Diceros bicornis minor: one gene and its partners. The protein of the gene in region 3 purifies or fractionates together with the protein of the main gene of each other region. This does not show direct contact. Links are inferred from orthologs where the notes say so. Each region holds a gene or a part of one and is shown on either strand. Other genes may lie near its edges.

Region 1 (3,746 bases), on a different chromosome or scaffold from region 3:
CGCTTGGGACTTGAGACAAAATTATCAAGTGAAAATTTCTCTTCAGAATGTTCTGTAGTTTCATCTCAAGAATAGATTTTTTTTTTTCCTTAAGAACTGCAATACGAAAGTATGGAACCTGTAAGAAGCCTTTGCTAAGTAAACTCAATTTTCTTAATCCACACAGCCTCTAGGTGGAGTACACAAGCACAGCTCCTTTTTGAAAGATTCCTTTGCAGCTTCGGTATGACTCAGCTTAAACTCTTTGAAAAAATATTAAATAAATGCCAAGTATAGATGCCCAGGAAAGTGAGGTGTACAAGCAGAAGTAGGTATATTCTTGACATTAGTATTGTAAAAACTCTGATGTGATTCAGCTGAGTTCTGAATAGATCCCAGTTAAGAATGGAGCATAGTTGTGCTTCCATGAATGGCGGGTTTCAGCCATCCAATGTTTAAGCCCTGTAACAACATCCTGAATCATCTATCATCCTTGTCAGAACTAGCTCCTAAAATGGAAGGCATCACTTGAGAAATATCTGTAATTTGAAGAACTTCTAATGTCTAAAACACTATAGTATATGTTGGAATGGACTGATCAATGGTTTCTGTTGCATTCACTCATTTTTACATGCAGATGGCAATAAAAAGGAAAAGTTAGTGCCTGTTAGGTATGAAAAATGGGCCTGGTAGCTGAAATGCTTATAGTAGTACTCCAGGAAAGTAATCAAATGGTTTCAGAGTGATACGAAAAATCATCTTTAATTTTTATTATCAATGGCCTATTTAAAAATTAGTTTAATAAATGAATCATCTTTCAAAATGTGACACATATATGTGTATACAGGCTTTATATATGTATTAAAACTGTATGGGAAGAGCACAGATTAAAGTGTTAATTATGGTTACACACAGGAGTGAGTTGGGTGAAGGCACTGCATACAGAGGACTGTTTATATGTCTGTACAACTTTTAAAAGTTTATTACAATGAGCATGTATTGCTTTTATAATTTAAAAAGTTAACACCCTACACAAAATACATTTTATAGAGATTAAAAATTAATTTTTAAAGTGAAAATGCTTTACATGCCATTAGAATAATTTTAAATGCATTTTGTTAAGTATACTTGTAAGTCCAAAGAAGTATGTCTGTCTAATTGTAAAATTACCATTGATGAAGTTAAAAAGTTTTTCCCCTCAAATTTTGAAAATGAAGCACTGGACTATTTTAACAAAATCTAAGAAAAGCAAAGATAAGACCTTGGCAAGTTTTAGCTTTCTAAATGTTACTGCACATATTAAAAATATTTCTCTTTTTGAAGACCTTAAAATGAACTTAGAAAAAATAGTAAAAATTTTTGTATTGCCATCAGGACTTTACCTTTTATTTCCTAGCCCACTTTTGTGTTTTATGTTCAGGGTGTTTGGATGTGGAGTTATTTTAATTAGGTTTCAACACGTTCTTGAAGCAAGTCTTCTTTCAGACTACTTAGAAGCCAGTGATTACATTTAAGTATTTTACTTATTTCTGCTCTTGGGTTAAATGTAACTTTCTAGCTTAGCAATATTTTTCTTCCTGAGAGAGAGGAGAGAAGATTTAGTCATTACGGAAAAGGAGTCCACGCAGCCCGGGGCGAGCCTGCGCGCCAGCATCCCGGGCGCCCCGAGCATCCCGGGCGCCGGCCGGGCGGCAGCGGCCGGGAGCCCCCGCGGCCCCGGGGAGCGGGCCCGAGCCTGCGCCCGCCTCCCCCGCTGGTTGGTCGAGGGAGCCCGAGATCCGCGCGAGGACAGCCTGGCTCCCCGCGGCGCGGCCGGGCACGGCCACCCAGGAGAACGGCAGCCCGGCGTCAGCTCTAAAAATGGATCTGCCTGGCGCTCGGGGGCAGGAAGGTGGGCAGGCGCCGCGCCGCGCTCGTCACCCGCGGAGAGGAGGCGTCGTGACGCCGGGGTCGGTGGCCCAATTCTCTCCTCCCGGTAAGATGGCTCCGCTGCTCACTCGCCGGCGCGACCACACACGAGCCTGTCCCTCCCCGGTCTCCTCGCCGGGGCCGCCGAGGCCGTTGGCGGCTCGGGGCCAGCCCGGCGCGACCCCCGGCCCCGCGACCCGCCCGCCCGCCAGACAAAGCTGACAACATGGCTCCCTCCGCTCGCACAAGTTCCTCGCAAGTTGAGCCGCGGCGGGCTTCCCGGCTGCGGCCGACCCGCGCGCGCCTCGCGCCGGCGCCCATCAACTTCAAGTTTCCCTCCGCCGAGCCGAGCCCGCCGGGCGCCGAGCCGCGGCCGCCCGCCCGCCCGCGCGAGGCCGGGCCCGGGAAACTTTCAACGTCTGCAGCCCGCAACTGACAGCCCGGCGGCGGGCGGGCGCCCACTCACCTTCAGACAGGTCCTCGATGCACTCGAAGGTGATCTCGAACTGGAACGGGTTGTAGAAAGGAGAAGGGTTATCCAGCACCACTACATTGTTCACCTGAACCTTTGCCATATTTTGAAAACACACAAACAATGGGGCCGGGGCTTGTTGCGGCACAATAAAGTCCAGCGCGCGGCCGCTCGGGAGAGCGCAGACCCCCGCCCCGGCGCCGGCCCGACGTCGTGCAGCGGCGACTTGAGAAACTTTTTTTTCCTCTTTTTATTTACACGGGAACACTCCACAGTGTTTTGCAGCTTTCCTATTTCACTAAACTACAGCCCATTCTGCTCTGATAACTAGCAGCGTTGCCCGCGATTGGCTGCACCCGAGCTCTGACCCTCCTCCTCCAGCGAGGGCCGCGGCGGCGAGCAAGATGGGCTCCCGCTCCCGGAATGGACTCGGAAACTTTAACTGCGGCTCCACCTGCTGGTGTGGATTAGGACAAAGGCGGAGAACAAAGTGAGTGGAATACGGGCTGGGAGGCCCGCGCGGAAGCCGCCGGCTGCGGCGGCGGCGGCGGCGGCGGCGGGGGGGGGGGAGGGGCGGCGCAGGCCCCGCCCCCCGGGCCCGCGGCTCCCGCGCGTCACGTCGGGCGGGGCCCCGGCGGGGCGGGGCCGCGGCCGAGGCGGCGGGGGGCGTGGCCGCGGCGGGAGGCGTGCTTGCGGCAGGCACGGCGGCGGGAGGGCGCGATCTTCGGCGACACCCGCCCCTCCGGTTTGCTTCGTGTGGTTTCTTTTAACGCTGTTTTTACATCAGTCCAACGGCTGTGCCGGCTCTGTACTGAATTTAGCAGATGTGATTCGGTTGTCCACACTAGGTTGGCTTCAGCTATCTATGCATTGAGTAGTATTTGGGGTAGAGAGAAGAGTTGGTTGCAGTGGAAATAAATTGCATTTTATAGACCGATACCAGCTCGAAAGGAGCAAAGCCATTTTGGAAATCTTGTTCTCGGCCAATATCTGCGTTTGGGCGCCACAGCGCCGTTAGTTAAATATACAAAATGAAGAGCGAGGAGGCGCTTTTCCACACACGCTTTGCTTGGAAAATCTGAATAGGTAATATTTGGGCTCCACCTGGCTCTTCTTCCTCCCATTCCCATCTGCAAAGTCCTAGAATAAGAGGAAGAGATGTGATCAGTTACACCGGAGGTTTCTGCCTTTTGGTAGGCAGAGCGGAAAAAAAGAAAATGGAAGTGTCAGGAGACCAAAGGGCGGCAGATGAGAAAGGAAAAGGAGAGTAGAGAACACACAGGCTTACCAACACAGTGATTTTCAAAAAACTCATGACCTAAATCGTTAGTAAGTAAAAACTTAGGGCACCACAAGCAAGTCTGGAGGAGGCTTTGCTTAATTCATC
Region 2 (3,746 bases), on a different chromosome or scaffold from region 3:
AAAAATGGAAGTCGCCCAGGATTCTCTTAATCTCTTGGCAGCCCAGGAAAGAGTGCTGGCTGGTGATACACATTTAGAAGTCATCAGCACCCAGATGTTAATCAAAGCCAAGGGAGAGAAGGGGGTCGCCCAAGAGAGCTCCTTTACGGGAAAGGAGGGCTCTGGAACCAGAACATTTAAGGGACTCGCTGAAGAAGAGGCGCCTACAAAGGAGGCTAACCAGGAATGGCCCAAGAGATTCTCCTATCGGGAGAGGAAAGACGGCCAAACAGGCGGGAAGGAAGACCGGGGGGGCGGCAAGCCAAGCCCGCGTTTAAGAGAGGAATTAATCAACAGTGTCAAACATTTGGCTAATTTTCCTCGGTCAGCACCAACCAGAATGATTCTGCCAACTCCTCCATCTCGCCGGTACTGTCTATACATCCCTAGTGGCTCTTTTAGTTTTACCCAGCGGTTTACTGTTTACTTTCTCCAATCAGACGGCTCAAGCAGGAGGTCTCTTACTCATTTTTCTCTTTCACAGAGCCTTACGCCTACTGCTCAGTTAATACCGTGGAATGATTTGAAGAACATTTGAACACCTGAACAAAGATCCAACCTTACAACTTGCTCCAGAAGCCAAATTCCCCAGGACACGACCACACTGCGCAGGCGCAAAGGCAGAAGCGCCGGCTTTCTCCGGGTCTTTGCGTTTGGCGCGAAATCCCCGCTCCGTGGGCGGGGCTGAGGCAGAAGCCGCGCTCATTGGGCAGGTTTGGCGCGAAATCCCCCGGGCTCCTGCGCCACGATTGGCTCCGTACGTCCAGGTGGGGCGAAGGGGCGGGGAGGCGGCGGCGCGCGCAAAGCGACAGCGTCCGGGGGGCAGCGACTTGTGGCGGTCGAGCGTGGTGGCCCCGTCAGCGCTAGGCAGCCATGGACCTCGCGGCAGCGGCGGAGCCGGTCGCCGGCAGCCAGCACCTGGAGGTCCGCGACGAGGTGGCCGAGAAGTGCCAGAAACTGTTCCTGGACTTCTTGGAGGAGTAAGTGTGCGGGCGCCCCTTCCTCGCGGAACTGCCCCTCCCCGCTTCCGGAGCCCGGGGGGCCGTGGGGTCGCTGCGTGTTCGGGAACCGAGGTGTCGCGCGCCTCTCAGAGCGGCCCACGCCCCACTTGGGGCTCAGCCTGGCCGCCGCGAGGAGCCCTGGACGGGCTGGGCTGGTTTCCAGGGGTACAGTCCATCTCGAGCCCTCCCTCAAACTCTTGCTGGGCCCAGTGCCCAGTGCTAAGCGCTTTACTCCCATCGCTCGGTCCTCACAGCCCGTGAGGCCGGTGGTCGTGTAGCCCCGGTGCCCTGCGCGGAAACTGAGGCTCGGTGAGGAGAAGTAAGAGGCCACGCGTCGACAGGGTCGGGCGGGAGGCCGAACTGGCCTTGGAATCCTGGCGGAGCCCTCATTGGACAGGCAGCCAGCACCCGGGTGCTGGGAGCCCCGAGGCCCCCCGCAGCCCTCGGGGCCTGTGCAGATGAAAGTACTGGAGTGAACCCTGGGGTTTGACAGCTGCTCGGTGAGGGTGAGCCCTGCCCTGCTTAAAAGTAGCTGAACGTACGCCCTCCATCCCCTCCTTCCTTCCTTTCCTTCCAACCCCCACCCCCACTTTTTTTTTGAGTTGCCTTCTAGGCTCCTGACCTCTCCTAACCCCCTCCCTGACTTTCCACCACGGCCACAGTTACTTCTCTTAGATAGTGTAGATAACATCACTGCTTTCCCTGAGAGTATGGTCTCTGCTGCCTCCAGGATGAAGTGGAAACACTATGGAATGTCTTATAAAATCCTTTTTTTTAATTGTAGTAAAATATACATAACATAAAATTTACCGGTTTAACCTTTTTTAAGCATAGAGTTCGGTGGCATTAAATACATTCATCTTGTTATGCAACCACCACCACCATCCATCTCCAGCACTCCTCTTCCCAAACTGAGACTCTGCACCCACTAAACAAGAACTCCCCGTTCCTCCTGCCCCCCAGCACCTCGCAACCACCGTTCTGCTTTCTGTCTATGAATTTGACTGCTTTAGGTATTTCATATACTTGGAGTCATACGGTATTGGTCCTTTTGTGACCAGCTTATTTCACTTGGCATAATGTCTTCAAGTTTCATTCATGTCATAGCATGTGCCAGAATTTCCTTTTTCAGGCTGAATAATATTTCATTGTATGTATATACCACATTTTCTTTCTCCATTCATCTATCCATGGACACTTGGGTTGCCTCCACACTTTTATGATTGTGAATAATTCTGCTGTCTTATGAAATTCTAATATACTTAAAACCATAATTTAATTTATAGTTCCTTACCTTTGGTGGTTATTCTCTGCTTGACAGCGGAGAATAGCTAAAGCCTAGCTAAAGGCTCATACTTCCTTTGTGAAACCCTATAAACTTTCCAGGCAGCACCAATCCTTTCTTCCCTTATGCTCCCAAGATGCCATTTTCCGTTATCTCTTGTAATGTAACATTATGTCTTTACCTGTCACCCACTTCATTTTGAATATGAATCCCATCCTTAACCCCACCTAGGCACCACACTACACTGCAAAGGTCCTCAATTAATGTTTCATTTCAACAAATAATATAATTGCCTCCACTGCCTTGCAGTTTACCAGGTAGCTAGATGCTGGGGACAATGATGAACAAGACAAATAATCCCTGTACTTTGTTGGGGGAAAAGATGTTAACTCCCTCTCAAAATAACCAACTTTGATTTGCCATTGCTTATGGAATAAAGGCCAAATTCTTCACAAGTCCTCTTTCCAGTTTCGTCTTCCACAACTGACCTGTCATCATCCACACTCCCCCCCATACCTTTTCTGACTTTGCCACATATTTGCAAACATCTGTAGCCAGTCTATCCACCACTCGTTTTTCTTTAAGATTGTAAGTCTTTCAAGGCTGAATTCCAGTGCCACCTTTTAGATGCATGAAGCCTTTCCAGATGTTCCTGTTAAGCAGAATTAGTTTAAATTCCCTTATCACATTTCTTTTACCTCCTCCTTTTTTTTCTTTCTTTTTCTTTTTTTATTTTATTGTGGAAAGAACACTTAACGTGCGATCTGCCCTCTTAAACAGATTTTTAACTGTACAATATATTACTGTTAACTGTAGGTACAGTGTTGTACAGTAGGTTAGAGCTTATTCATCTTGCTTGACTGAAACTTAATGCCGGTTGATTAGTACCTCCACATTTCCCCCTTCCTCCAGCCCCTGGCAACCACCATTCCACTCTTTGATTCTATGAATTTGACTATTTTAGATACCTTATATAAGTAGAATCATGCACTATTTGTCTTTCTGTGATTGGCTCATTTCACTTAGCTTAACCGTCTTCAAGGTTCATCCATGTTGTCACATTGCAGAATTTCCTTTTTTAAGGCTGAACAGTATTCCATTGTATGTGTATACCACATTTTCTTTCTTTATTCATTTGTCATGGACATTTAGGTTGTCTTGTACCGCTGTTTAGTAGGAATGTCTGCTAGAGAGTGTCAACCCAGGAACAACACTGTCATTTTCAGTTTCAGGTACCTTTGGCATAGTACTTTGCGTATAGATGTTGTTCAGTAAATATAACAGAGTTAGAACATGCTATTATAGGAGAAGGAATTGATTTCACCTCAAAACTAATCTGCGTGTTATGTTAAAAGACCAAAAAGCAAATATGTTTGTATAATACTCCTTTTGGAAACAAGCACACACCAGCTTTATTTTGT
Region 3 (3,746 bases):
TGTTTTGTCTGTGTTTCCTTATGAGAAGACAGCCTCATGGATGGGCTTTCCTGGGTTCTGCTAGCTGCCCAGCCAGGGGTCAGCTGCTGCCCCCGCTGGCCCCCAGCCTGTGGCCTCCCCACCCTCCAGCCCCTGCTCAGCATCACCTCATATACACATCCCTGTCTGATCAGTGGCGAAACTGAGGCATACAGAAGTTGGGTGCTCTCAAGGGGAATAGGGCCCCCAGGACCTGGGCTGTCCTGTGAATGCGGGCGCTGGAGGGCGAGCCAGGTCAGCTGGGGAGGCTCCCTCCGCCGTTCAGCTGAGCCAGTCTCTGCATCCCTGGCCTTGCTCCCCCACCCCGCCTCCACCGTCGCCCCTCGCTGTGCCCCGCACAACTTACCGCCAAGCAGCCGCCTTGGCTTCAGGGCCTCCCTGTCCTGCGTCCTGCGCCCCACACCCCTGACTAGGGGCCAGGCAGAGCACCTCACCCTCCAAGAGAAGAGGACGGCCACCCGGGTCCAACTTCCCACCTCCTGCAGCTCCTCGGGTTCGGTCTTGCCCCGACCCCTGCGGCCGGGCACTGGCCCTGGGCAGCCTTCCCTGGACCCATGGACCCATCCGCCCCCACGTCACTCCCTCCCCAACAGCTTGGCTGTGCATCCACTGGCTGAGTTTACCCCACTGGTCTGTTTCTATTTCCACAGAAAACAAATGAGTCCATCTCCCAGGGCTTCCAGCCTCCTCTGGGGCCTTTGAACGCGGCCAGTGCGTGGCTCCCAGGCCTGGCGGGGCGTGCTGTGCGCGGCCCTTACGTGGGGCCCGGGTGCGCGGCGTCCGCCAGGCACCGCAGGTGAGCGGTTTGCGCTACGGGACCCCGGGCCTGGATCCGGCCCCTCCGCCAGCAGCACCGGCCTCGAGTCCCAGAGGTGCCGGCTGCCGGACTCGCGGGTTCCGCGGTTCTGTGGGAGGGGGCAGCTGGTGCCGCCTCCTCTTACACGAGGGCAGCGCGTTCCGCAGGTAAAGTCGCACGTGCAGGTAGGTTTCTTGAGGGGAGGGGGTGTCAGCAGCAGCACGGGGCTAGAGCCCAGGAGACCTCCCCCAGGGCGGCTGAGGGGCCGGGGTGGGGGGCGGTTCAGCTCCCTGGGCCGCCCCGGGAGTCCGGGGAGGCGGGCACCAGCCAAACTACAGCTCCCAGGATGCTTCGGGCGGCTGGACTACACTTCCCGGGATGCTCCGCGGCCCGCGGGGGCGAGACTGGGCCTGCGCGCGGGCACTGGGGGCGGGGCCTGGAGCGGAGCCGCAGTGGTGGCGCGGGAGCGCGGGAAGTCTGGATCCCCGTGTGCGGCGGATGGAGTATGAGCCTGGACCGCGAGCTTCGCCGTGAGTTCCCCGGCCCAGCGCGGGGGCCGGGAGCGGGCCTGGCCCCCTAGGTAGAGGGGCTCAGCCTCTCGGCCTCGTTCCTCTCTCTGCAGAGCTGAGCAAGGCCAAGGCCAAGGCCCAGAGGAGCGGGCAGCTACGGGAGGAGGCCGCCCTCTGCCACCAGCTGGGGGAGCTCCTGGCCAGCCATGGTGCGTGCTCCGCGCCGGGCCCGGGGTGGGGCCCGGGGCTGGGGGGCCGGGAGAGTGAGGGGGGCAGCCGGGAGGGCCGTGGGGGTTGTGGGGCCGGAAGGGGGCCGGAAGGGACAGGGGACTGGGAGCCTTGCTGAGCGCGCCGCCCAGGGCCGGCCGCCGCCCCGCTTGCCCTCGCGGCCCGTGGCAGACTGCCCTGCCCGCCCGCCCGCCCAGGCCGCTACGCGGAGGCCCTGCGGGAACATCAGCAGGAGTTGCAGCTCCTGGAGAGCGCCGACGACCCCCTGGGCTGCGCCGTGGCGCACCGCAAGATCGGAGAGCGGCTGGCGGAGATGGAGGACTACTCTGCTGCCCTGCAGGTGGGCGGTGCCCCGCCAGCACCCACTCTGGCCACACCCCGCTTTTGTGGGCCGCACTTTGTGGGGGTCTCTTTCTGAGAAGGGAGGCACAGTGTCCACTGTCCGGGCCTCTGGCCACATGGGGACACCCTGCAACGCAACCTCACTTTCAGAGAGCCTTGTGCCAGGGAATGGTAGGTCAGTCCTTAAGTGGACACACACAGCCTCTTCTAGGAGCCTGGCCCCAGAAACCATTACCAAATGTATTATTTGAGCTGCGTTTGTGGGCCGGCTGGGGGGGTCGGGACACACTGTCCACACAGAGCCTGCCCTGCAGCAGCCCAGCTAACTCCTACTCATTGTCCCTCCTCTATGATGACACTAGCTGGCTGGAGTGTGGAGCTACTGTCCCCACAGGCAGCCCTTGGCATAGAGGAGATGGGGTGTGCGTAGTTTGGCTTTGGCCTGCTCTGGGGGGTGGTTTGAGGAGCAGGGGGCTCTCCTGGGCAAGAGTAGGGACGCCCTGGAGTTGGGGGACATGGAAGGTTTGCTTGAAGTGGGGTTTGGCTCACAGCAGCCATTCCTCTGCACCCTAGCACCAGCACCGCTACCTGGAGCTAGCCCATTCCCTGTCCAACCATATTGAGCTGCAGAGGGCCTGGGCTACCATTGGCCGCACCCACCTGGACATCTATGACCACCACCAGACACAGGATGCCTTGCTGCAGGCACAGACTGCCTTTGAGAAAAGCTTGGCTATCGTGGACGACAAACTGCAGGGTGAGTGCCCTCAGGGGCATGGCCTTCCCCACCATCTGCCCCCAAAACTGCAGGCAGAGGAGGTTGCAGCCTCCCTGCCAACCCTGCCTGCGTGGCAGGTTCCACCTGCCTGAGCCCTCCCTTTGTGAGACGGAGATCTGTCCTTAGAAGCCCTGCTATGAGGGGATGCATGGCCTGTGCTCATTGCAACGTGGCATCTGGTGATTGTCTGCTTTTTGTTTTTCCACACTCTGCAGCAGGACCCTTGGCACCTACAGTGAGAGGTGGGAGGAGGGGTGGGGGAGAGGCTGGACGGGCCTTGGACAGGGCCCAAAGCTGGAGACTCCAAGTGGGGATGAGGCACTGAGTATCTGGAGGGTGCGTCTTTCAGGGACATTGGCCAAGCGAGAACTGAGCGAGATGAGGACCCGACTCTACCTCAACCTGGGCCTCACCTTCGAGAGCCTGCAGCAGATGACCCTGTGCAATGACTACTTCAAGAAGAGCATCTTTCTCGCTGAGTAAGGCCCCCCACTCGGTCCCAAGAGGGAGCTGAGTCCCTGTTCCTGGTGGAAGTAGCTGGGGAATGGGCAACTGAAAGGGCAGGCTGGCTGGACCTCACCCCCGCCCCGTCCGTTTCCCATTAGCAGAGGAGCCCTGGCATGTGTGTGCTGCATGCTGGGGGGGGCAGCAGGCCTGGCGTGACAGGGCTGGAATCCCGAGTGGCATCAGCAGCTGCTCGTCAGTGCCTCGGGTGCCACTCTGCCATCCCAAAGTGGGAATGCCCCAGGCACTCTGAGCGCCTGTCACCACCCGCAGGCAGAACCACCTCTATGAGGACCTGTTCCGCGCCCGCTACAACCTGGGCGCCATCCACTGGCGCAGAGGGCAGCACTCCCAGGCCATGCGCTGCCTGGAGGGGGCCCGGGAGTGCGCACACATCATGAAGAAGGGGTTCATGGAGAGCGAGTGCTGCCTGCTCATCTCACAGGTGCCAGTTCTCAGTGGCTCTGGGCTCAGCCCCGGGGAGGCCTTGGGCCTTGGGGAGTCTGCAAGCCTCACCTTTCCTCACCCCCCCAGGTCCTCCAAGACCTGG

What was found.
Region 1: the proteins of TONSL (region 3) and ASF1A purify together in Homo sapiens (affinity purification with mass spectrometry; 4 studies listed by BioGRID and IntAct, counting the BioPlex papers as one, with this or other methods). This does not show direct contact. The link is inferred for Diceros bicornis minor from reciprocal best matches to the Homo sapiens genes TONSL and ASF1A.
Region 2: the proteins of TONSL (region 3) and MCM6 purify together in Homo sapiens (affinity purification with mass spectrometry; 3 studies listed by BioGRID and IntAct, with this or other methods). This does not show direct contact. The link is inferred for Diceros bicornis minor from reciprocal best matches to the Homo sapiens genes TONSL and MCM6.

What each region holds. Positions count from the first base shown.
Region 1 is NC_080762.1:17,474,104-17,477,849, forward strand, and holds the start of ASF1A (histone chaperone ASF1A), read right to left. Parts: upstream 2,768-3,746; 5' UTR 2,463-2,767; coding exon 2,354-2,462; intron 1-2,353. UniProt on the Homo sapiens protein: Histone chaperone that facilitates histone deposition and histone exchange and removal during nucleosome assembly and disassembly.
Region 2 is NC_080749.1:21,382,075-21,385,820, reverse strand, and holds the start of MCM6 (DNA replication licensing factor MCM6), read left to right. Parts: upstream 1-871; 5' UTR 872-912; coding exon 913-1,019; intron 1,020-3,746. UniProt on the Homo sapiens protein: Acts as a component of the MCM2-7 complex (MCM complex) which is the replicative helicase essential for 'once per cell cycle' DNA replication initiation and elongation in eukaryotic cells.
Region 3 is NC_080760.1:57,048,684-57,052,429, reverse strand, and holds the start of TONSL (tonsoku-like protein), read left to right. Parts: upstream 1-1,258; 5' UTR 1,259-1,340; coding exon 1,341-1,365; intron 1,366-1,457; coding exon 1,458-1,553; intron 1,554-1,769; coding exon 1,770-1,912; intron 1,913-2,487; coding exon 2,488-2,671; intron 2,672-3,041; coding exon 3,042-3,171; intron 3,172-3,469; coding exon 3,470-3,641; intron 3,642-3,730; coding exon 3,731-3,746. UniProt on the Homo sapiens protein: Component of the MMS22L-TONSL complex, a complex that promotes homologous recombination-mediated repair of double-strand breaks (DSBs) at stalled or collapsed replication forks.